2 linked regions of the Pelodiscus sinensis genome follow. The protein of the gene in region 2 binds, or shares a complex with, the protein of the main gene of each other region. Links are inferred from orthologs where the notes say so. Each region holds a gene or a part of one and is shown on either strand. Other genes may lie near its edges.

Region 1 (15,077 bases), on a different chromosome or scaffold from region 2:
TCCTTTCATCATAAATCTAGATTGACAGTCTTATAAATTTAAAGATAAAGATCTCTACTGAACTGAAACTACACACATTTAGCTGCACTCTCATGGTGCATTTCATCCAAAGCAGTTTACAAGTACTCATTAAATCTCTCAAAGAGCTCTGTCAGGTAGAAAAACCTTGCTAATTAGTACTAATCACTGCTGATTATCAAAATTTCAGAAATTACTGAGTAAGTGTAACAGCAATAATACCACAAAATATGCTGTACTCATTTATTTTCACATGTATTCACTTACATATCTATTACAATAAAAACAAATATATTAAATGTATATAGCTATTTTATGTTTAATAGAATATTCTGATATTTAACTTAAGACTACATTTTAATATAAAGCGGTGAGGAGTCCTGTGGCACCTTATAGACTAACTGAAGTGTTGAAGCATAAGATTTCGTGGGCAAAGACCCACTTCATCAGACCCACAAAAGCTTATGCTCCAACACTTCAGTTAGTCTATAAGGTGCCACAGGACTCCTCACCACTTTTGCAGATTCAGACTAACACAGCTACCCCTCTGATACTTAATATAAAGCCTCACTCTCCCATTAAATATTTGAGAATATTTTTATGTGCAAATTATCAGATTTGTAATGAAGTGTAATTAGAGAGGTTCTGCTAGATTTCCATTTTACAAATGGCTACATCAAGAAGGTTAAGTGACCGGTTCAGGGTTAAAATGAGAGTTAGTGGTAAGACTAGTTTTACAATTCATGAGCTGTCTTCTGGTCTACGTGCTCTAACCACAACGTGACATTTCACTGCAGGAGCAAAAGCTTTCCCTATATATCCATGGACCACATCATTTTGTTTAAGGCATCATTTGCCAATCCTACTCACACATCAGAGCTGAGTATGAGGGTAGGGCTACATTATAGCTTAATACATTATATTGCTCTGGGGTGTCAATTTGCCAGACACTGAGCAACACAACGTATTCCAATTTAAGCGCTGATGTAGACAGCACTATCTCCTACCTACCCAGCTACCACTGCTTGCAGGGGTGGGAATAGTTAAGCTGACTGGAGACCAGTATAACCTGTACACTTGAGGGGCCACTTAGAGTCATGTGCCACCCAGCTGATTGACAGAGTGCCCACAGCTGTATTTGTTTCTTCTGGTGGTGCATATTTGCACATGCCTCAGTGAGCATAAAAAAGTGTATTCCATACATGGATGGAAAAAATCTGCACATGGATGGAAAAGATTATCAGGAACTTTACCAGAGACTTCTTCCCACATGTAGAGGCATGGTGTAAGCTGACGGGAGAGATCAACGATGCAGGGGTCAATCATCCAGCGTCAATTTAACTGTTTAGTAAAGACCTGCTAAATCAAACTATGAGGGTGACCCCGTAAGCACCAGAATTCCTACTTGTTGTGAGGAGTAAGGGAAGTCAACGTGACCATTTCTCCCACTGACTGCCTGCTGCGATGACAGCACCAAAGCTCAGCTTAAGGTACATTACTCCAGCTACTGTTTTTACTGGGCCTGGCATTACAACAGCAACAGTAGAGGGTTTATATCAGTGTAGTCAAGCCACAGCCCTAGTTTAGATTAGGAATGTCAACATGTAGATGACAATACAATTCACCAATAAGGCTGGTCTTATTGGTTAATCCTGCAGCAAGCGGGGGAGAGGAGGGAGACGGTACCTGCGGGGAAGCCAGCTTTAAGTTGGCTCCCCACGAGCACCAGATCCACCTGCTCCCCCCCCCCCCCCATACCCGTGCTGCAGCCTCTGATAGAGAGGCAGCAGCACAGAGGGTGAGGTGGGCAGGCAGCAGACAACAGACAATACGCATAGGAGCTGGCTCTGCAGACCTGCCTGCTCCCTTGCTGCCTCCTACAGAGGCAGTGGAGGGGCAGGCAGGAGCTGATGCTGGGGGGGGGAGGGAGAAGAAGAGGGCACCGCAGGGTAAGACAGCTTAATCTGGCTCCCACCTGCCACCCCACACTGCTGTCTCTGACAGAGAGGTAGCAGTGTGGAGTAGAAGGGGGCTTCCCAGAAGGGGGCCAAGAGTACACTAGCTGCTGGGCCCCGAGGACTAGGGATGTTAAATTTAGTTTAATCAACTAAGTGACTAATCAGTGGATTTTCCATCGACTAGATGATAAGCGGGGGAGCCATAGCAACTCTTAATACATTTAGAAAGCAGAGGCACAGCGTCTGGGACTGGGCTTAAGCCAGGAATCTCTCCAGCACTGGTTCTTGCTTCCTCCAATAGAAGGACTAGTCGCTTACATCCCTATCTGGAACCACTAAAATTTGTTGCAGTTACAGGACTATTCCATTACACACTAACATCCCTATTTTAGATTCTGTTTCAATTACCAGCCAGATCAACGGGGCAGCAATCGATCCATTGCGGGTCCGTTTAGCAAGTTGATAAATTCATTGCCAATAGCTCTGGCATCATCTTTGATGCTCCATCAAGCTGAGAAAGGTAAGCAAACACCACAGTGAAGAAACTGTGGCAAGAAGAGCTAAATACGCCAACTTCAGCTACATTATTCATGTAGCTTAACTTAGATACATTGCCCCTCATAGTGAAGACCAGGTTTAAGAAATGTACTATTATTCCCTTTCACAGTTTAAGGACTCAAATCGTCATCCAGGTTGTCATCCTCTTTCCAACTGTTACAGGTTGAACCTCTCTAGTCTGGCACCCACAGGACTTGACAAGTGCCAAACCAGAGAATTTGCTGGACCATGGGAGGTCAATATTATCTAGCAGCATTACCAACACTTCCATTGCTTACTGGAGTCTTAGAAGACATTTAGAGGTAAATTAGAGCTAAACAACAGTACAGAACACTGACAGCCAGGACCGGTGGCTGTAACAAACTTCATGAGACTGCAGAAAACTTGGTTATACCCACGATAGCTGGATGTCCACTTAACTAAAATTGTGTTGGATCAGAGTGCACCAGATTAGAGAGGTTCACCCTGTACTAAACAAAGTTTCTTATGGAGGAAAAAAAACCCAATATGGCTATGCTACATAACAAATTGCTGACAATGACCACACTCTAGATCAACATATTTTTAGCATATGAGGAAAAGAGCCAAACCTCAAGTCTAAATTATAAAGTTACTATCAATTACTTTTAAGCCCAATTGTTTTTTTAAAAAAAGGAGGGAATGGGATACCAAACTAGATAGAATAGTGATAGAAATGTAGTCGTGTTAGTCTGGTGTAGCTGAAACAAAAAACAGGACTATGTAGCACTTTAAAGACTAACATGATGGTTTATTAGGTGATGAGCTTTCGTGGGCCAGACCCACTTCCTCAGATCAAATAGTGGAGGAAAATTGGCATGACCAAAGGATACAATCAAAAAAAATGAACACATATGAAAAGGACAAATCAAATTTCAGAAAAGAAGGAGGATGGTGAGGGGGGAGGTAAATGTCTGTGAGCTAATGATATTAGAGGTGATAATTGGGGAAGCTATCTTTGTAATAGGTAAGTTAGTGTCTTTGTTAAGACCTAGGTGTAAAGTGTCAGATTTAAGCATGAATGTTCAGAGGATTAGAAACCATCTACTTCAAAACAGACCCAAGAAAACCAACAATAGAACACCACTTGTCATCACCTACAGCCCCCAACTTAAACCTGTCCAACACATTATCAATAAACTACAATCTATACTGGAACAGGATACTAAACTAGAGAGGCTCTGGGAGACATACCCATAGTCTCCTATAGACAACCACCTAACCTCAAGATGATTCTTACCAACAACCACAGGACATACCACACCAATACCAACCCTGGAACTTTTCCTTGCAACAAACCCTGTTGCCAGCTTTGTCCACATATTCACTCTGCTGACGCCCATTATTGGACCTAACCAATTGAGTTATAAGATCAAGAGCACATATGCCTGCTCATCCAGAAATATAATTTACGCTATCATGTGCCAAAAGTGTCCGTCTGCTATGTACATTGGACAAATGTCTGACACTTCGCCAAAGAATCAATGCCCACAAAACAGATATTAGACAGGATCACAAAGAAAAACAAGTTTCTTGCCATTTCAACCAGAAAGGGCATGGTCTCAATGACTTGATTACCTGCATCCTGCTTCAAAGACATTTTAACACCAGACTTGAAAGAGAATCCTCTGAACTGTCATTCATGCTTAAATTTGACACTTTACACCTAGGTCTTAACAAAGACACTAATTACCTTATCCATTACAAAGATAGCATCCTCAATCACCACCTCTAATATCATTAGCTCACAGACATTTACCTCCCCTCCCCCCATTCCCCCTTCTGTTCTGAAATTTGATTTGTCCTTTTCATATGTGTTCATTTTTTTGATGGTATCCTTTGGTCATGCCAATTTTCCTCCACTATTTGATCTGAGGAAGTGGGTCTGGCCCATGAAAGCTCATCACCTAATAAGCCATCTTGTTAGTCTTTAAAGTGCTATATAGTCCTGGTTTTTATTCAAAAAAGATAGAATTATTCTTATATTGTTTTAAATTGAATTTAAAACAATCATTCCCTATAATATTGGGAACCAAGCAACAAAAGCAACCTGCTATTAAAATTGCCAGAAAATGAAAGAGTCTATAAACAGAAGTGAACATAATGGATGTAACTGCAACTATTTGATTTTTGTATTTTACTCAATGTAAGCCAACCACATTGTGAAAGGTGAACTGGAATTCTAAATTTCATTTTTAATAACCAAACCTACTACACATTAGGTAAATATTGTTACCTGGATTTACTGATAACTTGCGTTTAAAATCCAAACACCTTTTTACCACAATAGGTAAATATTTCTCTGACAATCTTTGAGTTTTCCTTAAAGTGGTTTGGGGAGGGAAAAAAAAAAAAAAAACAATCAATAAGCTAAACAGCAGCATTTGCTGGCACAGTCTACAATTTTAGCCACAGAAATGATGCCTCTAATTGTGCAAGTGTAATAGCAGCTATAACCTATTTGAATTACAGTAGCACTGAAAGTGCTAACTAGTATTAGGACCTTTTTGTGACAGATGCTGCAGAAAACCAAACAATTTCTGTCCCAAATTTCTCCCAGGATTCATCCATTTCCAAACTATGCAGGTGGACATCAGCACTCAACTCAGTCTGCCAATGCAGAATTCATTGCAGGACCAGGGCCTAAGGAAAACCAATTTAAATCCAGGCGCAGCAAATGTACTTTAACACACTACATTGTTTACTAATCTTCATACTGAATCAGCAAATACATCAAACACTTCTGTTTCAACACAGATTTGGTTAGAAACCAAAAACAAGCCAGAGCATATCACTAGTTTATAAAGATTTAGGAATAAAAAAATTAACATTTTAACATCCAAGTAAATTTACAAACATTGTTTGGTTACTTAATTACTTAATGATTTCACAGACTATTATTTGCTGCTAACTAAAGTGACAAACCACATATGAAGCTTCAGGGGGTAGCCGAGTTAGTCTGTACAGGATAAACTTAAGCAGCATTGAAAGGACTGTACGTATGACTTACCCATTATAATGTGTTTTTACTCTGATGACGTCTCTGTTCAGATTCATTTTTGATCCCATTCTGCTAGGCATGATACTAATATAGAAGTCTAAACAACAAACACATTATGGGCATAAAGACGATCCTCCAAACCCAAAGTGTTGTCAAAAATAATCACTAATGTTATGCTAAGGTCTAATGAAGTAGCAAGTAATGTGTATAGGCTTTTTGCCCCCAAAATGATATCCAGTCCACCTACAGACACAAAAAGAAAAATAGAGCGTTAACAAATTTAAAAAGAACATGTTAAAACACAGATGTAATTCTATCACTGATGCCCCAATTTCTATGGTATTTTGTGGGTACGGTTAGGTGTTACTCACTAATTATAAGACCCTGGTCCTGCAAAAACATGTTAGTTTTTATTTTTGTTGCACTCTTGCTTTAACTTTACAGGTGCTTTTAAAAGTGTTTAATAAGCACAGGGATGAGAATTAAAGAAAATAGCACTGGCAAAAAATAATAGGGCAGTTAATTTTATGAAATCATTCATGTTAAGAGAAGCTCAGATAAGCTACCAACAGTCAGAACACTGTTTCCACACTTGACAAGACTAGGATTCAAGTGCTGAAACTTTTTTAAAGTTTCCTAATAAAACTTCTTGTATTTCCACTTAAGGCAAAAAATATTGCAGTACAAACACTTTTTAGGAGACTGTAGAAAGGAAGGGATACTTCATTTGCAATAAAAGTTGTTTACTCATTCTTCTGCTAGTCTCATATTTTTCATGCCACACAGAAGCTTTTCATTTCCCCCTATGGGAAAAAACACTGCAGAATCTGACACCAACCTTCACTGTGTTTCTAAGGAAGACAAGGAGCAGTCCTGTGGCACCTTAGAGATGAACAAAAACATACAGACTTTGCTTTCCCAGGCAAAACCCACTTCCTGAGAAGAATGCCCAAGAAAGCTCATACTAACTACACCAATATTCTTGTTACTTTAGAAAGTGTCACAGGGCTACTTGCTGTTTTTAAAAGTTTCAGACTAACCTGACTCTCAGACCTTTATGTCTGTAAAGGAAAGGTTTCAGCAGCATGCTGGCCTTCTTTTAGGGATGGGGGGGGAGCAAATTAGGAGCCTGCTTAATAATCTGAAGATCCAGCTTCCCCTTTGTAATAGTTGGGGGGCGGGGGGCGCACAAGCTACTGGATTCACCCGTCTTTGAGGATGGGCGTCATTGCGCCCCAGCTTGATCTGTTACAGCCTGGGTCCCACCAGCCGGTCTGCAGCGGCGCCTAGGGTCCTTGCGTCCCGCCTCAGGGCACTGGGGTCACTGCAAGCAGGAGCCGGGCGCAGCGCGCCTGCCCCTCGCGGGGTTCCCCGCTCCACAGAGGGAGCTTTCCCCGGTAGCTGCCCCCACAGAGCGTTCAGTGCTGCTGGGGGGGCCCTAGGGTGTCCCCGCGCAGGCCAGGCGGCCGGTGGGGGGGCGGGGCGCTCTCCTACCTGCTGTGGCGCCAGCCGAAGTGGTTCCCCTCAGGCGTGCAGCTCCCGTCTTGACACCCCCCTCAGCCTAACCCCGCCCACGCCCCGCCCTCAGGCTGGAAGTTGCCCAAAGTCCCGACAGGAAGTTGGGGGTCGGACTCAGCTCCCCCGCCCGAGATCCCCCTGAGGCGGCGGCAGCAGCGCGCACCCCCCGGAATCCCAGAGCACCCGCCGCTTTCCACCTCGCGCCTGGCTCACCGGCGACCCGCGCACGAAAGCAACGCCCGCTGCTCCCGCGCCACCGCTACTCCGAACATGGCGGACTGAGCAGGTTAACGGCTCCGACAGCCAATGGAGCGCCGCCCACCCTACCTGCCGACCAATCGCAAGCGCCGCCCACCTGAAACCAGTCCCCACAGGCATACCTCCGGGCCTGGCCAATCAGAGGGCGGTATCCGTTACCTGGCGAGCGGAGAGGAGGCAGCCAATCATAAAATATGAGCGGGGGGATGGACAGCTGCGGCCAGTGGCGGGAGAGGGGGGGGGGCTGTCTCTTAGGAGATGGGGGCAGGATGGCTGGGTGCCTGTTCCAGCAATGGGGTGGATAGATGGGGCAAGCAGAGATGAGTCCTGGCTGCAAGGCTGCCTCAGGTCTATTCTCACTGCCACCTCCCATTGGCCTTAGGCATGTCTCTTAACCTGGGGGTGGGTAATAATTCTTGATGGGGCACCAGTCTAATAATTTGGTAAGGGGTCAAGGGTGCTCACTCTTCTGTGATATTAGTGGGGGAAGTGCAGGGTCTGGGATAGAGGGGGAGTACAGGGGAAAGCTCAAAGTAGAGGATTGGGGAGGAGGAGTTTGGATGAAGAGTGTTGTGACCTGGGACAAGGGATTGGGGTGCAGGAGAGGATGTAGGGTTTAGGGTGGAGAAGGGCATGTAGAGGGTTTGGGTTGGGACCTGGTGCAGGACGGGGTGGAGATGAGTGCCAGGTGCAGGTTCTGCCTGGGAGATGCTTACAGTAGGCAGCTTCTGGCCAGCAACCCAAGGGGACCCTCCAGCAGGCTCCCTGCCTGCACCCCCACATGCCATTCAAAGCAGCTGACTGCTGGGGCTATTGTGTGTGTATCTACCTGGTGCACCCCTTCAGAGGAAGAAGGGAAAAAGTCTCCTCATGCTGCATGCCCCTGCAAGCATGGCCCAGGCTGGAAATTAGCCAATGGGAGCTGTGAGGATTGTGGTGGGGGCAGGAGACCTCACCTCCCCCAGAGTGGCACACGTGGTGCAGACACACGCACTAGCCCCAGCAGCCGGCCAATTTGCATGGCATCTGGTGGAGCAGCAGGCAGGGAGCCTGCCTGAGTATCCTGCTGGGCTGCAGGACATTGGCAATCTGGAGTATTGTGGCAGGCTGTATACGAATGTTTGGTGGGACAGATACAGCCCATTGGATGTATTTTTCCCACCCCTGCCTGATTTCTGTTCTGCAATTTACCCATCATCAACTAACCCACAACTGGAAGTGGAAGTGTGGGCCATTTACATTGTCAAGCCTCTTTTACATTCTCAGTTAGAATCTACAGGCAGTCCCCGAGTTACGCGGATCCGACTTACGTCGGATCCGCAGTTACGAACGGGGCACTTCCTCTCCCTGGTCTCGAGCAGACCAGGGAGAGGAAGCAAAGCGGCGGTGGAACGCGCGGCCAGCTGACAGCCCAGACGCGTCTGGGCTGTCAGCTGGCCGCGCGCTCCGCTCTGCTCCCCCCCCCCTCTGCAGACCAGGGGGAGGGGGAGCAGAGCGGAGCAGAGCAGAGCGGCGGAACGCACAGCCAGCTGACAGCCCAGACGCTTCTGGGCTGTCAGCTGGCCGCGCGTTCTGCCGCTCTGCTCTGCTCCGCTCTGCTCTGCTCCCCCTCCCCCTGGTCTGCAGACCAGGGGGAGGGGGAGCAGAGCGGAGCACGCGGCCAGCTGGCCGCGCGTTCCGCCGCTCTGCTGTGCTCCGCTCTGCTCCCCCTCCCCCTGATCTGCAGGGTGGGGGGGGAGCAGAGCGGAGCACGAGGCCAGCTGACAGCCCAGATGCGTCTGGGCTGTCAGCTGGCCGCACGTTCTGCGCTCTGCTCTGCTCCGCTCTGCTCCCCCTCCCCCTGGTCTGCAAACCATGGGGGGGGGGGAAGCAGAGCGGAGCACGCGACCAGCTGACAGCCCAGACGTGTCTGGGCTGTCAGCTGGCCGCGGGTTCCGCCGCTCTGCTCTACTCTGCTCCCCCTCCCCCTGGTCTGCAGACCTGGGGGACGGGGAGCAGAGCAAAGCCGCGGAGCCCGAGGGCAGCAGGATAGCCACGGCGCGTCTGGGCTGTCCCGCTGCCTGCGTGTTCCGCCGCTTTGTTCCCCATCCCCCTGGTCTGCAGACCAGGGGGACGGGGAGCAAAGCAGAGCAAAGCCACGGAGCCCGAGGGCAGCAGGATAGCCACGGCGCGTCTGGGCTGTCCCGCTGCCCCCGTGCTCCGCGGCTTTGCTCCGGACGCCTGTGGTACAGCAGCAGGGGCGCTGCCGGTTGGTCCCGTAGCGCCGCTCTGGGTGCCACTGGACCAACCCAGCAGCACCCCAGCTGCTCTGCCCCAGGTGTCCCCTAGTCAGCAGCTGCTGAAAATGACCAGTGGCTGACTACAGGAAGCCCCTGCCCCGGGCTTCCTGGAATCTGCCACTGATCAGTTTCAGCAGCAGCTGACTTGGGGATGCCTGGGGTTCTTAAGTTGAATCTGTATGTAAGTCAGAACTGGCGTCCAGATTCAGCCACTGTTGAAACTGATCAGTTTCAGCAGCGGCTGAATCTGGACGCCAGTTCCGACTTACATACAGATTCAACTTAAGAACAAACCTACAGTCCCTATCTTGTACGTAACCCGGGGACTGCCTGTACTATAGAAACAGTAGGGACAATATGGTTATAAGCCCGTGAGAAATAGGGTCTATCCCCTGAATCAGTGTAGCATAAAAACAATGCTAATTCTGCACCATTCTCAGTAGAAGACATTGATGTCAATGGTAGGTCATGCCAAGGGTATTCTACTATTTAATGTAAGTGTTTTCATTCTTATTTTTAGGCCTTTAACAAATACTTTTAAATCTGTCTTCAATAAAACATTTAAATCATTATGTAGTCATTTTCCAGGCACTCTTGAAACAGCAGAAGCTTCCACGTACCTCAATAAAAGTAAGAGGCATCGGTTGCTAGCCAATTAATAAACTCATTTACAAAGAGAAATCTCAAAGTAGGATCAGAATCTAGATTCCAAAGTGAGTGATTTTTCCAGTATCAGCTAAAATAACATCTTTACTATCTCAGGAGGTTTGCAACCTTTTCTAAGTCTTAGAGCATGAGATTAGGTATCAGAACTACTGGGTTCTTGCTTTTTTCACTGGTGCTGTCATCGTTTGCATTTTGAAGATAAAAAGTATTGCATACATATTAAGCACTGGTTTGTGTGACCTGTGTGGGTGCTGGTTATCATACTGATCATAATGATCTCACTGTTACTTTTTCATCCACCCACTGATTGTTGTCCAAAATGTAAATTACATGCTCTTTTGGAGAATAGACCAGCTTTTGGATATGTTTGTATAGAACCAAGCACAATTGGGCCCTGATCCCTTACTGGAGTTTTTAGGTGCTTTTGTACATCAAATAGTAATTATTATATTACCGGAAAGGAGGTGGGGGGGGGGGTCTGTTGTTTTTGTAGACTAGCAGTTAAATAGGAAATTGAGTTGAGACTCCAAAGTTTTGTTTATGACTCTGCTGCTTATTCACTATGTAACCTTCCCAAGCCCCAAAGAGGCATTATTAGCAGTCAGCAAGAATAATGACTACACATGCACAGGTAGTCCCACTTAAGTGAGAGTCATGGTTTCAAAACTGGTCCTTAAATCTCTCTGTGTCTCAGTTCTCCTATCTGTGAAATTGAGATGATTCTTACCTCTCAGAACATGGAAATCAATAATTAAACCTGTGAAGCAACAGAAGTTGCTTAGACAAAAGATGCTGTGAACTCTTTAAAGCTAAGCTTTTGGGTTTTTTCCAGCACAGTTTTTTCATAAGGCAATTCTATGTACATTTACATCACTTGTCAGAAAACGTGAATAAAATAAACATTTCATTATGGGTCACTCCCTACCCTTTAATCATTTTAACAAAAATATCCTAATTTTTAATATTTCTTAATATTACAATATTCTTAAATGTATTCATTTCTGCTTTGATGCTCTCCATTTCAAGGAATAAAGGTCAGCAGATGGCACTTTTTGGAGAGGATGTCAGTTTTCCTCTATGGATTAACTAACAAGATTGTAACAGCAATGCAAGGATAACATATTGTAAGACATTGTCTCTGGCATATTGTTTTTGAAACACAACCAACTTCTGGTGGCATAGAGCCAGAAATCCTGACTATGCTTCTGAGCACAATTTTTTTTTCAGCTGCAGTATATTTATTGCATTTTTATCTGTCATTAACTTACCCTCAACCTAATAAACTGACAGCTATTAAACCAGTGCTCACTAGAGGTTAAGGAACTGAGAATTTCCCTATTTAAACCCCATTTTTGAGAGGGTTATAACTCAGCTATTTTAATTTGTGTCAGATTGAAAGGAAATATTCAAGTTGAGGTACTACAGGTTGTACTTCCCTTGAAACATGACTGATTCTGAACCAGGGGAGGTCAATGCTGGACCCTTTGCTGCTGCCGGTTTCTACTCCGGAGACAACAAGAGGAGCTGGCATTGACCAAGCGGGAGTTGAGGGACCACTTGCAGGAAGAGGCAGGGTAGTTGTGGAGTCCTGTGGCCAGGGGCTAGGAGCACAGCCCAGCCAGAACACATTTAGCCTCTCAGCAACCCCGCCTCTACCCCCAAGCATCTCCCATCTCTACTCCTTCCCTGTCCTCCCTCCCTGAGTTTGAGTGCTGCTTATGGTGATGCTCCAAAAGCTCGGGAGGGGGAGGGATGGGTAAGAGTTGCTGAATGGGGGCCAGCTTTTCGCATGAGTACTCCAGACCCAGATTACTCACTGGGATATCAGACCACAGATGTTGCTGGACCACATAAGTCCAAACGTAAAGGTTAAACCTGTATTTTAAAAAAACTGGGGAGAAAAATATCCTGTTTTTTTTCCCCATACCTGAGAGCAGAGTACAAAGTGCCTTGGGGGGGGGGGGGGGGATGATTCCTTGAAAATATTTAAGTTGTTCGAAACGTGGCTATTGTCCAAACCAGTAGAAGTAGAAGAGAGTATATTTGGTTCATGCATCAGCAGCAGGACTGGGGATTTTCAATTCTGCATTCACTTCCTTGTGGAGTGAATTGTAATTGAATATACACACAACAATATCAGCACTGAAACCAGTGGTTTCTAACACTTAAAACTAAAGGATATCTCCTTTCTTGTGAGATGGTAGCTGGAGGCTGGCCAGCTCCTAAGGCTAAATTTATAGATTGGATGCTTTTGTGTTTTGTGGATCTTAGTGTGAACTTCTTATATAAGTCATGTGAGGCCCATCCACACCCATCCATTGAGAAGGAAGTGTTCTAAAAAAATTAGAAAAAACAAATACTCAAGAAATTCAGACTTTTTTCCAAGTTTATTCTAACCAAGAACCTGATCCATCTACTACTGAAATCCATTGTAAAGTCTCACTGAGTTGGATTGGGCCCCTGTTACTTAAAAGGATGCTATACGTTTTGACTGAGAAATCTTGGCAAATAGAAGGTCAAAGTAGGTGCCAGATTACACACACCTGAACCAATCCCATTGACTTCAGGTGATTTACTTTGGGTTTACCCAGGTGTAATTGAGATCAGAATCTGGCCCTGAATGACATACATTTTATATCCAGATATAGAACCCAGGATTGGGCATTTGTCCTATGGCACAAAGTTAAATAATTGTTTTCTGCTGTGTGCTACCACTATCCAGAGGACTGGTTTCAGGGTGTGGTGGCTTGAGAGTTATTTTATGATGCCTGTTGTAAAAGTGTAAAAGCACAACTTTCTGTAGGAATGTATATTTACATAGTTCCAGTAGGTGGCAAGATGATCCCAGGAACTGCTTTGGGAGAAAAGTACAGCTGAATACCTAATGTTCATAGCTTCATTCACTGTAATGTTGTTCCCAGGCTACCAAGCAGTGTTCTTTTTACAAAATAGTTTATTGGGAGATGCAAATGAACTGCTTTGGGGGTAAATAAATGGCATTAATCCACATTCTTGTACTGGGAAGTAGGGAGTTCTGCAAGCGTGCATGATCATATCTTACTCTGGTACAGGGCTGTTCTTCCTGGATTTCCACAGAAGACACTGAACACAAGAACAGCCATACTAGGACCAACCAGAGGTCCATCTAGCCCAGTATCCTGTCTTCTAACAGTGGCCAATATCAGGTGCCCCAGAGGGAATACTCAGAACAGGTAATCATCAAGTGATCTCTCCCCATCACCCATTCCCAGTTTCTGACAAGCAGAGGCTAAGGATGCCATTGATGGATCTAATATTGGTTCTTTTTTGAACCCCGTTTAAGTCCTGGTCTTCACAACATCTTCTGGCAGGGAATTCTACAGGTTGACTGTGTGTTACATGAAGAAATACTTCCTCTTGTTTGTTTTAAATCTGCTACCTATTAATTTTATTTGGTAACCCCTAGATCTTTGTGTTATGAGAGCAAGTAAAGGATATTTCCTTATCTGCTTTCCCCATATCGGTCATGAGTTTATAGACCTCTCTCATACCCCACCTTAGTCTACTCTTTTCTAAGCTAAAAAGTTCCCGTTTTATTAATCTCTCCTCACATGGCAGACATTGCAAACCCCTAATCATTTTTATTGCCCTTTTCTGAACCTTTTCCAATGCCAATATATCTTTTTGGAGATGAGGTGACTGCATCTGTACGCAGAATTCAAGATGTGGGTGTACAGTGGATTTATATAGAGGCAATAAGATTTTCTGTCTTATTCCCTATCCCTTTTTTTAAAAAACGATTCCTAACATTGTTTGCTTTTTTGACAGCCACTGCACATTGAGTAGATGTTTTCAGAGAACTATCCACAATGATGTCAAGATTTCTCTCTTGAGTGGTACCAACTAATTTAGTCCCCGTCATTTTATATGTATAGATATCAGATATCTAAGGGTATGTCTACACTGCACAGCTATTTCGGGATCTCGGAGAGATCCCGAAATAGCTGATCCATATTTATACCAGCCACCCGTTATTTTGAAATATTTTTCGAAATAACGGGTATGCTATTTCAGCATTCTAGTAACCCTTATTCCACAAGGGTTAAGGGATGTCTCGAAATAGCATGTTATTTTGAAATTTGGCACTGTGTAGACATGCCAAATTTCAAAATAACCTATTTCGAAAAAGATTTGAAATAGGACACAATTTGCGTATCTTATTCCAAGTTTAGGATGCTGTGTAGATGTACCCATAGAGATAATAGAATATTAGAACTGGAAGGGACCTCGAGAGATCATCAAATCCAGTTCTCTGTCCTCATGGCAGGACCAAGCATGATCTATATCAGTGGTCCCCAACGCGGTGCGGCATTTGTGTGTGCCCACCTAGTGACCAGGGCCAGCCCGAGCCATTCTTGCACCCCAGGCCCCGGCGGATGCGCGGTCTCCCACCCTGGGTGCCTGGCATCCCCAAAAGGTTGGGGACCACTGGTCTATATCCCCGATAGAGGTCTGTCTAACCTGCTCTTAAATATCTTTAGTGATGGAGATTCCACAACCTCCCTAGGCAATTTATTCTAGAGTTTAACCACCCTGACAGTTAGGAAGTTTTTTCTAATGTCCAACCTAAATCTCCCTTGCTGCAGTTTAAGCCCATTGCTCAGATGCCGAGAAAAATAATTTCCCCCCTCCTCCCTCTGACACCCCTTTAGATACCTGAAAACCGTTACGTCCCCCCTCAGTCTTTTTTCCCAAACTCAATAAGACCAATTACTTCAGCCTTGCCTCATAGCTCATGGTTTCTAGACCTTTAATCATTTTTGC
Region 2 (14,894 bases):
AACATCTAAGGAACTACTAGAAGCATATCTACTGCCTTATTCTCACTCAAACTCACCACCATCTCTAATAGTTTCTCTTAAAATCTTTGCGGTACCAATGAGGGATGTTAAGGACTAGTCGACTATCCGATAAGCAAATGCTCAGGGCTTGACAAATAATGCAATCTACTCGCACGTGGTGAGTAGACTGCAACCCAGAAGAGCTGGGTTCGGGCGATCTGCGCATGTGCAGATTGCGAGACAGCGCGGCTAACGAGCGGGGCTCGTCACGGTTTGGTGAGCCCTGCAAATGCTTATCAGAGAGTCGACAAAATCGTCAACTACTCACTTCCCCCCACTGCTGCTTCTATGAGACAGAGGGAGCAAGCAGGGGGAACCTGGGCTCCATGCTGCACTGGCCCTTTGAAATATCACAGCGACATTTCAAAGGGGGAGCATCGCATGGAGCCCGGGACTCCCCAGTTGACCCCCACGCTCCATGTGGAGCGCTATAGGAGTGAGGTATTTCAGTTGGGTGGGGGGAGGGGGGGTATTTTGTTTCTCACTTACAATCATAAGGCTGGAAGAGACCTCAGGATGTCATTGAGTCCAGCCCTCTCCCCAAAAAAGGACCAACTCCAACTAAATCAGCCCAGTCAGAACTTAAAAACCTCTAGAGATGGCGATTCCTCCACCTCCCTAGGTAACCTATTCCAGTACTTCACCACCCTCCTAGTAAAATAGTTTTTCCTAATATCCAACCTAGACCTCCCCCACTGTAACTTGAGACCATTGCTCCTTGTTCTGCCATCTGTTACCACTAAGAACAGCCTGTCCATCCTCTTTGGAACCTCCCTTCAGGAAGTTGAAGGCTGATATCAAATCCCCCCTCACTCTTCACTTCTTCCCACTAAATAAGCCCAAATCCCTCAGCTTCTCCTCATAGGTCCCCAACTGATTTTTATACAGGTCAGTGGCCTTCACCCAAAAAGGGTCCCCATTCCTGCCATGAACAGAGACAATGTTGAAACCTTTTCTGCTGAACATACTATTTTACATTATTTAAAAATGAAGCCTACCCAACAAGCCCTCAACAAGTCTGCAGTTGGGGCGCAGCCCCCATCTGGCTGCAACATCATAATACTCCTGCACTCCCACACACTAGGGATGTTAAATTTAGTTTAATCGACTAATCAACTAGTCAATAGATTTTCCATTGACTGGTTGATTATTCAGTAAGTGGGGAGCTGCAGCAGGGTTAGCTCCAGCCTGGGCTATAGCTCTGCTCTTTAAATGGATTAAGAGCCTGTTGGCCCAGGCATGAGTCAGGAATCAGCTGTCCCAGCTCACACTAAGTCCCGCCCTGCTACACTTTAGCCTTCTAAATGGATTAAGAGCCAATAGAGGCGTGTCTGGGACTAGATGCAAGCTGGGAATCCGCTGATTCCCACCTCACGCCTGGTCCCCACCACTTCCCCTGCTGGTGCTCTGATAAAGGCAGCAGGAGGGAAGGGGTGACTAGTCCCTCAACTATCCAATAAGCTTTTGCTTATTGCATAGTCAAGTAGTCACTTACATCCCTACCACACACATCAATCCTGAGCCCATCATACACCTGAACACCCTGCCCTGAACCACTCGTTCACCCACATCACTGGACTCCTGCACCCCACGTCACCACCCCTCTGCCATAAGAATGACAGAAGACAGCCTGAATATGTGCATGAAGCTGGATTTGACAGTTGTGATGGAAACTTCAAAGAAATGTGAGAGAAGATGCAGCAGCAAAAGTCCCATTAAATAAAGTCTGGGTACAATTTTTCATTTATACTATTATTAATCATTATGTCAATTATCAATAATATTAAGTTGTATATTTTCAGTCATGCAGATGGGCATTCTTACATGGCTCTTTGGTGACCACTTGTTCTGAATTTGGATGTAGTTTGGCTCTTTGGTTTGAAAAGGATGCAGACCCCTGCCCTAACTACTACTTGTCTCTGGCCACTGGCTTGGCTTTGTTTCTCTCAACACTCTCAATTAAATATATTAAACTTCTCATTTGTTCTGCACATCTACATATCCAGTCACACACACACACATAATAGATGTTAAGAAAACAATCAACACATACACTTCTTTCCATCATTTTCACCTTCAGAATAACTGTGCATTATCTCCTTTTTATTGCAAACTTTATGTTCTTTATATTTTTCAAACACTGACGAAATTCAAGGACCAAGTCAGTAGAAATTGGAAATAAAAATAGAAATTGCCATCTTATACCAAAATCACTGTAAACTAAAGATAAAACAGATCTGCTCCCTTTCAGATGAGAATCTATGTACCAGCTTCTTACAAACATATTCCTAACTTCTCAGACAAATTTCAACATCTTGTGTATTTAAGTCAATCTTTTGGTGAAGTTATGCAATTTGAATTGTTCAGTTGCGTGTGCCTCTCTTTATAATATGTATTTTAATCTAGTTAGTATGTCAAAAAGTTTATTGGCATCAATATATGCATTTCCTTTCATAATCATATACACTCTCAATGTACAGTACTCTGGCTCTCAGGTCCTTATTATTCAGTTATATAGGCCAAGTCTTCTTTTTCTTTTCATAATTCAAAGCCTGCAAGTCCCTTCATCACATTCTGATTGCAACCTTCTGTAACTTTTCAATCTCCAAGACATTCATATAATTTTGTGAGGAGAACTATACAACTTCTGCATTCCCCTTAAGCAGGTTTTGAAAATTTACGCATCACCCACTAGCAAGGGTAAAATGCATTGATGCAAGTCATAGTAGTTAATACCAGTGAGAGTTTCTTCATTATGGGGTACACCAGTCAATTATACTGATGTTACAATAACAGTGGGTCTGGTCCCAATGGAGACAATGCCTTAGATTCTGCTAAGCCTGACTGAATTCTCAAAAAAAAAAAAAAAGATTTCTTGTCCTGGGCAAGTGGATTGTAAGCCCTGCCTACAATTCAAGAATGTATCATGCTGACAACCAGGTTGATTGGATGGGCTTTTGTTTGTTTGTTTTCAAGTTGTAGAGAAAAAGGCTTACTGTTCATATTTCAACTACACAGCCTTTATTGGAATATCAAAAAAAGAAAGAATACTTGTAATAAAGCTTCCAAAAAAATGTTTGGACTTTCCATCACATTGACAGGGGGATGCAGTCTACCATACTAACAAGTTAAACCATCTTTAATAGAGAGAGATTTTGCATCTAAAATGGCAATGATTTACCATCAAAAATAAAAGGGACTGATTGACTCATTCCTAATTATCACATGCAACTACAGAATGATAAAAGGCAAAAATGAAATGTGTTATGCGTATGTTATTTAATTTTTTTTTAAAACAGCGAGCATTTTGTCTCTGACCCTAATTTATTTCCTGTTAAACAGGTATTGTTTCCACTCCCACCACGTCAATTCAATTCAAATAATTCTAAGTGAGAAAAAGAAAATTAAAATAAAGGTCAAAGATTAAGTTATATACTTTCAATATTTTGGAAACACATTTGCACACAATTCCAAATTGAGTCCTTTGTGCTAGAATAACTTCATGCACACTGTGCAAATAAAAAAATTAGGACAGTCAAGCAATTAAAAAATTAACGCTGCGGCGGCGTTTCAAAGGCGCAGCGCTGCACAAGCCCGGGATCAGCTGGGGCCCTCAGCTGACCCCGGGCTCAGTTCAGCTGCCCCTTTGAAACGCAATAACAGCATTTCAAAGCCACAGGAGCCCAAGATCAGTTGGAGTCCCCAAAAGGGGCAGCGCAGCATTAACGCCCACAATTAACACGTTAAAAAAAGTTAACGTGTTAATCCTGGGCTGAGTTAATCAGAGGTGTTAACGCACATCAATTGACAGTCCTAAAAAAAATGCTAATGTAGAGAGCTAGCATTGTATAAGCACCTAAAAACAGTCTTGATTTAGAGCATCTGCTGCTAGTCAAAAACTGAAAATTGTGGGATGGGAGAGCTAAGCTCAGTGTTGTTCTGATCCTTCAATCTCCAAGAAGCTCTACTGAAGTCACTGGGACTACTCACAATATGCTAAATTAAACAGGTACATACATTTTTGTAGGGTTGGGGCCCACATTTTCATGTTAGTGTTAGAACATTTCTATCAGATTTTTAGTTTCCTACATGAGGCTATAATTGATGCAGAAGTAATACATTTTGGAAGACTCAGAAAAATGCCAAATGTTATCAAAATGATGATAAAAATAAATTTAAAAACTACAGTTGATCTCTCAAATATTTAATATATACATCCTTTTCTAAGAAGCAAAGAGCCGTACAGCTCTTGGACTCCAATAAAAAGAGACCACCTAATCACACTAGAAAGGTGGGGCACTAACCATAAAAACCTGAAATTACATCCCTCGCTATTTCCATATTATGAAAAGCCACAGTTATTACTTGGAAAATATTTGGTAAAATTTATCTATACTTATTTATAGTGGTACTCATGGAATCATCACTGTGATCTTAGTTGGGGTAGATAACTGTTTTCACAAGATTTGCATATAGTAGAAGCCTTCTCATTGTAATTAACACCATTCTAACCCCAACTGCAACAAAGCTTAATCCATGCAAAATACAGTACACAAAATAAAAATGAAATTTAAAGCCAACGGGTCCTTTATAAAACCCAAGATCAAAAGTTCTGAAGGCTAGGAGCAAGCAAAACTGTAATCTTGAAAATTATCTTTACGACGTTCACCTGCCAATATATCACATTTCAGAGGTTTCTAATTTTTTTTTTCATAATGTGGCTACATAACAGAGCTTTTGTCATGGACCCCTCCCCGCCATTTGCAAGCATACAAGCAACCATCCTCTCCACTCATTCTCACATAACTTCACTGTTACACATACTGCAATTTGTTCACATGGAAATATATTAGGAATGTGTTTGTAGCTGTCTTTAATGCAATTTAACAGCTGGAAACAGGAATGTGATCCAGTGCACTATGACGAGACAGATATTCAGAGACTACAGCCTGGAAACCATAGATTTATCATCACTAGATTATATTAATATTGTAAGATTTAGGGACCAATCATACAAATATTTACTGTCAAGTATAGTCCCGTTTAAGTAAGTAGCACTCTCAGTTGTAAGAGTACTTTGGGACATGGTCATTTCTGTGCATATGAAATGTTATGCACTTTAATGAAGCTGTCAAAATAACTGCAGTTGGCATCTTGACTTCTTTCAGTGAAACATTTCACTAGTCAATGTTGTGTGATGTTACACAATATACTAAGATGTAGTGATTGTCTCAAAAAATTCTGGAAAAAAAGGAAACAAAAAAATGGAAACTTTGGTTTCCCTTTCCCTGGACACCAGCCACAGGTTCTCATTGGAAAAAAACACCACCCCACTCACAACCTGACACAGTATTTCCAACCTACTAATGCTAAGGCAAGCAGACTTCAAACTTCTAATTGCTTGGTGCAATTTCAGAGAGTCCTGAAGTAAAAAATTCTCAACTGAAACAAAACAAAAATCATAAAGGTAAAAAAATAAGTCATACCCAACTACTTGAGCAAAGCTGGGGGAGTAGGAAGCACCAGATGGAATTTCATTAATCTACTGGTCTTTTTCAGATTGGCCTGGCAAATGTTAGTCAGAAATTTAAAAACATGTTTTGCAGCAAAAAAATAAAATATTCTAAGTGACTACAGAATGGAAGATACAATTATTTGTAAATAACTATGTACATGTAGTCATGCACCAACTCTACGCAGAAAGCGTTCAGACAAGTTAAAACAAAAGGAAAAACTATGTAGCACTTTAATGACTAACAAGTTGGTTTAATATGTCACGAGCTTTCGTGGGCCAGACTCACTTCCTCAGATCATATTCTGGAAGAGAACTGGCATTACCATATATACCATGGTCATGCCAATTCTCTTCCAGAATATGATCTGAGAAAGTGGGTCTGGCCCACGAAAGCTCATCATGTATTAAACTATCTTGTTAGTCTTTAAAGTGCTACATGTTTTTTTTCTTTTGTTTTAGCAAGACCAGACTAACACAGCTACCTCTCTATTATTATTCAGACAAGCTGTAATTATAATTAACATCACCAAAAAGAAAGAAATCAATTACGTTTCCAAAGATAAATGCAATTAACATATTTCCAGCACAAAGGCTCCCTACACTGTAAACTTCTTTCAGAGTAACTGGAAAAGTAAATGATTCTCTGTGTTGACATGAGAATTTCTGACACAGAGAAGAGTGCACTGACTTGTCATGAAGTGATTGTCCTAGCAAACAATCCAACAGAACACTCTTTTAACCCATCCTTTAAAAAAAAAAATTCTCCAGACAATCCTCTCTGTAGTACCTTTCCCCTTTTCTGGCAGTCCAAGAGACATATAACTTTTTCAGATATAAACATTAAATGCCTGCTGTTTTGTCAACTCCCCACATTTCACTGTTTTTTTTCTTCCTGGGCCTGGAGCAGCTGGGAAGCCTGGGGCTGGATTTGAATTCTTTGCAGTAACTACTGCCCAGCAAAGAGAAATCATTGTAAAGGAGACCTACTTTTGGGGATTTATATCTTTATCTGTTTCAAACACCAAGCTTTGAAGATGTAACAAAAGCTATAGCACGCTGTTACACAGTCTTTTCCGCGACAATTAAAGTAACAAGATGTAACCCTCCAAGTGACAGCCAATACCCCAGTTTGTATGGACCCAGGGCACTTGGGGTGTACGCAACTAATAGGAACACCACAGAGAGAGAAAGAGCTAGAGGGAGAGATCCCCCAGCCCTTTTACAATCACACCTACAAGAGACTCGTTTGCTCGTTACAAAATAGTAACAAAGAGCTCAGGCCCCAAAACACACGTCTGCGACTGTATCTCGCTAAAGGGTAAATCTCAGCTCCCCAGCTGGGTTACAAAGAAGCCATGTTCAGTTAGCAACTCCTTTCACACAGACACACGCTCCCTGCCCCCAGGGCCGGGCCGGGCAGCCCAGCAGCGCTTTAAACTTCACTGTCAGGAAAACTAGATCGCTGCACCCAGGAGCAGCAGCGCCTCTGGCCCAAACTCCCCGCGCTTCTTCCTTCTCTGGATCTCGCACCCACCAACTCTCGCCCTCGGGGAGGGGGGCTGCGGAGGCCGGGCCCCTCCAGCCCGTGCCCACGTCTCTCCCCAGCCGAGCAGCCTGCACTTTTCCCCTTTCATCCCCTCCCTCCCCCTTTCCAGGAAGCGCCATATTGATCCCAGGCGCCCTCTTCCTGCGCCGTCCCCCGCTCGCTGCCCCGGGCGCGCACCCTCACCTTGGCGATCGCCTTCTTGTACCTGGTCACCGCTTGCTGGATGAGGCTGAAAACTTTCATGTTGCCGTCCCCGCAGGGCACGACCACCCGGGTCCGCCCGAAGCACACGGTGACTTTCATCCTGCCCCGGCCGCCCGGCTGCCTGCGGCCCCCACACGCTCCCCGCCCGCGCTCGGCCCCCAGCTCCGGGCGCGCCTGGCTCTGCGCCCCGGGCCAGCCGCCAGCCCCGGGCAGGAGCCCGCGCCGAGGGAAGGCGGCAGCTGCTGCAGCGGACCGGCCGAGTCCCGGGCTGCGGGCTTCCCGCTCACATGCTCGGCCGCCGCCGGGGCGGTGCCAGCGCTCGCTGCTGCCTCTGGCCACCTGTTCCGCGTCTCCTCCTGCGCGCAGCGCGGCGGCGGCGGCTGCTCACGCCCGGGCGGCGGGGGAAGGGCCGCGCTGTCTCCCCGCTATGGCCGCGCAGGGCATTGCCGCTCGCTCTGCCTCTGGGCCCCGGCCCTCCCCCAGCCCAGCCAGCGGGTGTGGGGCTGCGCCTCCTGCCACATGCCCAGGGGCGGAGGGAGGGTGGTGGGGCCGAGCCCGGGAAGGAGGCCCAGGGGAAGGGAGGGGGCCCATGTGCTGCTGTTTACACTGCGCTCGCCTATGGGCTCTGAAGGAAGCAGAGCGGACGGCCCCGCAGCCGTGTCGGGGACCCTGCGTAGCCCAGACCTCCCAGCCCGCCCCGGGGAAGGGGTACTGCTGCCCCCGGCCATCGGGAGAGAGGAAGCCCAGCCTAGCGGTAAAGGGGCCCACTTTGATCGCCCATCCTTGCCCTTGGCGGGGGAAGGTTGTAAACCCCCCACCGCCCGCAGGCGCCCCTAGCATTTTCCAAAGGGTGCTTTAAAATGTCCAGGGCTTCTTTTGTCCAGGTAGGGGCGTGCTGCCCCACGCTACTGGCCTCTGCCCAGGGCCTGGCTCCTGGAGGCACCTGAGTGTAGCAGAATCTCACTCTTTAATTTTACACAATTTCCCAGCCCTTGTCCTTGAAAGAAAAGCTGGGACACCTGACCTGAGTGTATCTGGCTACTTCCTGCATCTCTGTGGGTGTTATCTGCTGGCAGGGGCATTGGCAACTCTCTGCAGAGGACTTGGACTATACCAGGAGGAAACAAGTGCAGCAGGCTGGTAAGCAGAAAGAATAATGCACAGGAGCATCTACTTACTGCAAAGCCACACAAACACTGGATCAGTGTGGGCAGACTCCTACTGATTTTAATGGGTGTCCACTACCTTGGATCCTAGAGGTGTGGGGATGGAAAGAACCAGTGATAGAAATTCTCTTTTTCTGGCCCCAGGGGTCTTTTCTGGATTCTACATCCCCACAAATTCCCCCCTTGTGGCTCATCAACCATACTTTTCTGTTGACTGAGCAGAGTCTTCCAGCACCCTAAGGCTGTTCTCAATCATGGTGACTGAGAAATAGAGGATCCTGAACCCCAAGGAACTTAGTTGGTTAGAAACATATCCCCTTTTACAGCTGTACATGGAGAAATGAACCAGTCTCCTACCTGGTGTTTTCACAGTGTCACCATACACACTTTGCTGCCTCAAATCTAGATGTTCTTCAAAAGGATAGCCTTGATCATTTTATTCTTGTTAGCTGAGCAGAGTCAATGCAGTATGACAAGTAAACTGGAGTATATCCTAGCGTTTATAACATCAGTAGAATTGCAGTTACAGCCCCACTGAATTGAATGGGTGTTATAAATGTCACTGGTAGCAGAATTAGAAGAAAATGAACTTGCACATTTGTCAGTAATTGTTCTACTTCGCTTGCAGAATCTTTATACTGGATGGTGGCGCATAAGACAGAAAGCATCCAAATTGATTTGCTGAATGAGGGCTAAATTTTCAGGACAGGCAATCAGAAAAAACACACATTTGTTTTACTTAAACATGGAACCACACAGTGCTTTTAAAAAACAGTAAAATTATACTTTATGTCTACAAAGAACAAACAGGATCTTGGTTTTAAGATGTTTTCTGGAGGTTTCACATAGTAACATGATGCGAAACTCAGTTAATCTCAGAAGACAGTATGGTTTAGTCATCTCTTCCAAGACTGGGGACTATAGTTCTAGTAAGTTTAGATATCCCAAACCTTATACAGACAACAGAGTTATATGTGATTAAGTAGTGCACAATCAGAACTCTTGAGATGTGCAATATTGAAAGGACTCTGTTAGTTATTCTACAGACATCTAGGGTGTAATCCTGACCCATTGAAGTCAATGGGAATTTCATCATTTACTTCAATGGAACCAGGATTTCATCCCTATGCATTAGGAAACTATGCGCAGTTCTACTTAACTGGGTTTAGATTAAAGAGGAGTGAAGAAAGAGGAGTTACTTGCAATCTTTTGTACTACTATTCACAAAGATTCATTGCTTAAAATTAACCTCGGTGTAATTAGACTCTTCTGCTTTGAGAGGAGAGGGAAACAAGCCAGAACTTATTTGATTGTAACCACATATTAAAAAGAATTTGTCACCAAAAATTTTCCATAAAATGTAGGTGACCTGATAGTGATTATTAAGTCTCTTACCTTAGTGCAGTGATGGCCTTAGGACTGCATGTGGCCCATCAGGGTTGTGTATGTGTCCTGCAAAACATTTTTTTTTTACCATTACCCATGCACAGGGTTGTCAGATTTTGCTGGGTTCCATCCACATCATTTTTTCCTGCCAGTTTTACTAAAGTAACATTACTAAAATGACATATAAAGCAAGGGCACATGAAGTGAGGTGCCCACTGACTGTACACAACATTAACAGTGAGAGTCATGCACTCTCTATATCCAATCAAAGCACTGCTATGGTTCATTTGGGACACTGCAAATTCTAGTATCAGAGGGGTAGCTGTGTTAGTCTGAATCTGCAAAAGCGGTGAGGACTCCTGTAGCACCTTATAGACTAACTGAAGTGTAGGAGCATAAGCTTTTGTGGGCAAAGACCCACTTTATCAGATGCATATAGTGGAAATTTCCAGAGTCAGGTATAAATATGCAGGCCAGAATCAGGCAGGTGATTGGATCCATATCGTCATCTCCAGCCTGATTCTGGCCTGCATATTTATACCTGCCTCTGGAAATTTCCACTACATGCATCTGACGAAGTGGGTCTTTGCCCACGAAAGCTTTTGCAAATTCTAGGCATGCAAGTGCAGTGAGCAAAACTACCCTGTTTCCAGGAGGGTAGCTTGCTTACAACATTCTTGCAGCCCACTCAGATAAAAGAGGGCCATTTATGTGGCCCACTTGCTAGCCTAGATTGACCATCTCTGTCCTAGTGTCTAGGAGCCCTAGTCTTGGATCAAGAAGCCATTGTGGGAAGAGCTGTACAAACTCAGAACCAGAAGCTAATCCCTTCCCCAAGCAGTTTGATATAGACAAATATGGGAGTATAAGGAACGAGACAATATTGGTCTGCTTGGTAGGGAGTGATTCCTGCTAAAGGTGGCTCAGGGATGGTGTTGGGACTGCTGTCTCTCTTGCGCTGCCCAAGAAGTCCCATCACCATGTGTTCAGTGGCCCTTCGGAGGGCTAGGAGGAGAAGACAAGAGGCGGGGATGGGGGCAGGAGAGTTGGGTGGAGAGGGGAGCAAGGAGCTCACTGGTGACCCACTCCATGCACAGTCATGCGCTTCATGACAGAGGTCATGGAGGAAGACATGGCCTCATACTGGTGCATCAGCTGCTTCTGGTCAACCCGGCTTGCCTCACAGTTGGCAGTCTGCTCCCAGCACTCCTCATTGAACCCCCATATGAGGGACTGGAGGCAGGCTATCTGGTCCTGCAGCAGGTCTTCCCTGGTGCACTTTTTGCAGTGGATCCCACAGAGCTGAGAAGATGGTGTGGGAGGTGGTGGATGTGCCACACTCACAGCTGGCCCAGCTGTGAAGAAAAGTTACAGGAGCACTCATCCCAGGAGACACTGTGCATGAAGCCTAGCCCTAAACTCTGAGCTGACACTGAAGGTCTCAGTTCAGACTATGGCAATTTGTTTTGAGCAAGGCCATCTGTTTCCTACACAGTGGGCACTTTCCTGCAGGGGCGTCCTGCAGCCATCCCAGTGGAGCATTGCTACAGCCATGGCCCAGGAGCCTGTGGTCAGGAAGGGGGATGGGGCAGCTTGGCTTCCTTCCATTTCCTGCACACACCAGGTCCAGCACTTTGTGGACTTAGGTGCTTTTGAAATTTGTACCTTAAGTGACATAGAAACCAAATCCTACTTTCAAAAGGGACTTAGAGACTCCGGAGCCAAGTCTCACCCACTGGGGACTTAATATGTTAAGTATAACACCTAACGTTTAGGCTGCCTGGATTGCAAGCCCTTTGGAGCAGTGTTTTTATTCTGTGTATGGATAACACCTACCACAATGGAGTCCTGGTCCAAGACTAGGGCTCCTAAGCACTATGGTAATAAAGAACAGTGGAATCCATGGCCCTGCATGTGGTACCCAGGCAGCCAGTACAATGCTATCATAATGCATAGGAAGAATTAGGCACCTGCGAATGGAATTCACAAAAGCCAGCACACTGAGCACAGAGCCACCTAAGCAGGAAATGCTGAGGATAAGGAAAACCACCTTCCCCCACACAGCCAATGGTGTTAAGTGCCTAGCTCTGGGCTGCAGAGAGGTGCCTCCCTCCAGTTGGGATTCACAGGCATGAACACCCTCTGGAAGTAGGTGTCTAAGTTAGTCAGCCCTTTTTCATGAAAAACCTGTTGAAGCTGTTCTGCTTTGTAGGCACTTTCTAAATATTCCTTGAATTAAACTAAAGAGAGAGAGAGAGAGATGCTATGTCCCACTGGGAAACCCAGACTGCAGTTTCTTCTCTAATAAATATTATACAAAGGGGAGCAGCTTCAATAGCAGAGATTGAGAAAGACCCAGCTCGGTACCCTAGAGCCCAGCACTGAAGTCACTCACTTGGGAGCAGTATCAAGTCTCTGTGCCACGTCAGACAGAATGGGGATCCAGATCTGATCCATCAAGCCTTTCAATCAGGCTGGGCGCACCACCAAGGCTCAGAGCTCCCTGCTCCTTCTGCCTATCTGCACTGGGAAAGAGAGGGAAGATGATACAGAGGCAGCAGCAAGGAATGGCAGGGTGCTCCTCGGTAGTGGGGCCGGAGTGCACTGGCTGCCAACCCTGCCCCCGGGTACTATAGAGTAGTTGACTAACCAATAAGAATTCACGAGGTTACTTGACTCTTCAATTAACCGATATTTAACATCCCTAGTCTATACTGCAGTTTTATAGTCCTGGAGCCAAGCCCCATCAACCTGAGTCAAAGTGAGCTACACTCAGACACAGTGCCATGGGATTTTGAATCAGAGAGTAGATGTGCCCAGAGCCACTTAGGTGCTTTCTAAAATATTATGCTTAGGCCCCAGTTCTGCTAACTTGTCCATTTGCTTAAGTTTATGCTCTTAGAGTAGTCCCACTGATTTTAGTGAGACTGCTCAGTGCATTAATAAAGCACCTGCACAAGTCTTTGCAGGTTTGTAGTCTAAAACAGGAATGTCCAAGAACTCATGTACCGTGTATGTAGATATAGATTTGCAAGAGATGTGTCATTTTTGTTTTCTTGAGAAATGGACACAAAACAATATAATGTCAAATGGCTTAGAGACCACTTCCTGTTACTTATTACAGTTAATAAAACATTGCCTAATCCCAAGGAACATATAACTAATAGTATGATAGTAAACAGTATTTAGGAACGGTTCATCAATGGGTAAAGTTACTTGTATATGTATACAAAACATATATATAACTTCAAATTCAGGAATGATATATGCACAGAAATAAAATATATACATTCAGCAGAATATAACTTTTTGAATAATGTGTTACATGAAGTATTTTGCATAAAGCATGTTCAAGTTGTGTCTTACTCAGAAGCATATTTCAATAAAGAACATTGAGTGCAACATCACAGTATGTGTATTCCACCTCACAAATTATGTACAGGTTTTATACAACTATTAGGTTGTATCTCTCTGCTGGTACTAATCTGAACTGCCAGGGATTCTAGTTAAACTTCTGGTTCCATTCATTTCTTTCTTGGATTAAAAAATGAAAGGATATATTGTGACGTTCATCAATGAACTCTCTGGCTCATTAAAGAGCAGCATTGGTAGGATATGAAAGGGATTCCATCAAGGTCTTCACCGGTTGAAATTTGGTGGCTACAACATGGGGCCTCACAGACTGGAAGAAAGAGAATGGGGGCTTTCGGGGTTTCATAGGAATATGAAGAATTACATATACAAATGTATTATCAGAAAACCTACACCCATGTTACAAGTTTATTTAGATGCATTAGCTTGGCCATTTTCACTCCTTTTATACCACCACTGCTGCATGAATATTTGCTCCAAGGCAAAATTCTGAAATGCCTGCAAAATTAATTTTCTATATTATAAACATAAAAGTAGCTAAAGAGAAAGAATAAACAAAGTATGGGTTTACTAGAACTCCTTGTCAGAAGTGTGACTAGGACATGCACAGCTACCTTGAATGATGCCACAGCACAACTGTTGAATTACTTCCATACACTCGGAAAAGCTATGGAAGCACACCATAGCCATCTTTCAGAGTTGCTGATCATCTACAACTCCCACTGAGGAGGAATAGTGGATGCTCACACTACCATCAAAACAGTTTTGGGGCCAAATCAGAAGAAAAGATTAACTAAGAACTAATGAAAAGAGGGAAAGGAGACACCCAACTTCATTCTTTTCTTCATCTTATTTTTCTTTATATCCTTTCTTCTGTAATTTTTTCTCTCATCCTCTCTTCTTCCTCCTCCCCTTTCCATCTTTAATTGTCCTTATCACACCTTTTCCCATTTCTCCTTCCATCTTCTACCTCCTTTTCTGCTCTCCTTCATCTTGTCTTCCTTAAATGTATTTGCAGCTGCTGAAATGCAGTAAAGAGAAGAATGAAGTGAAATAGGAGACTCCCTGTGCTGAGCTAAGCTCTGTGACAACTTGTCATATATGGTAAATACGTCTTCATTTTACAGAGCACAAAGACTTTGACAATAAACAGAACAAGCTACAGTTACCACAATGCAAGTGCAGTGTTTTATCATACAGTAGAACCTCAGAGTTACGAATACCAGAGTTATGGACTCACTGGTAAACTGCCCCCTTCATCTGGAACCAGAAGTATGCAATCAGGCAGCCAAAACAATTTTTAAAAAGGGCAAATACTGTATAATGCAGTACTGTGTTAAATGTAAACTGCTAAAAATAAAGGGAAACTTTAAAGATTTGACCAAGGTAAGGAAACTATATTTTTGCTTGTTTCATTAAGATGGTAAAAAAACAGCATTTAACTTCTGCATAGTAAATTTGCAAAGCTGTAAGTCAATGTTCCATTGTAAACTTTTGAACAACCACAGATTTTGTTCAGAGTTGCAAACATTTTCTTTTCTTATGATGTTTGTAACTGAGGTTCTAGTATATATCAATCTGTGCTAATTCTTAAACTCTGAATTGGCTTAAAATCAGGTTATACTTGGTGAAATTTAAGTGCAGT

What was found.
Region 1: PARD3 (region 2) and PRKCZ share a complex: the UniProt entries of both Homo sapiens proteins name them as parts of the par polarity complex. The link is inferred for Pelodiscus sinensis from reciprocal best matches to the Homo sapiens genes PARD3 and PRKCZ.

What each region holds. Positions count from the first base shown.
Region 1 is NC_134733.1:18,758,034-18,773,110, reverse strand, and holds the start of PRKCZ (protein kinase C zeta type), read right to left. Parts: upstream 7,408-15,077; 5' UTR 7,285-7,407; intron 7,189-7,284; exon of another isoform or gene 7,048-7,188; intron 6,436-7,047; exon of another isoform or gene 6,392-6,435; intron 5,797-6,391; 5' UTR 5,634-5,796; coding exon 5,563-5,633; intron 1-5,562. UniProt on the Homo sapiens protein: Calcium- and diacylglycerol-independent serine/threonine-protein kinase that functions in phosphatidylinositol 3-kinase (PI3K) pathway and mitogen-activated protein (MAP) kinase cascade, and is involved in NF-kappa-B activation, mitogenic signaling, cell proliferation, cell polarity, inflammatory response and maintenance of long-term potentiation (LTP).
Region 2 is NC_134712.1:231,790,377-231,805,270, forward strand, and holds the start of PARD3 (partitioning defective 3 homolog), read right to left. Parts: upstream 7,825-14,894; 5' UTR 7,425-7,824; coding exon 7,305-7,424; intron 1-7,304. UniProt on the Homo sapiens protein: Adapter protein involved in asymmetrical cell division and cell polarization processes. Seems to play a central role in the formation of epithelial tight junctions. Targets the phosphatase PTEN to cell junctions.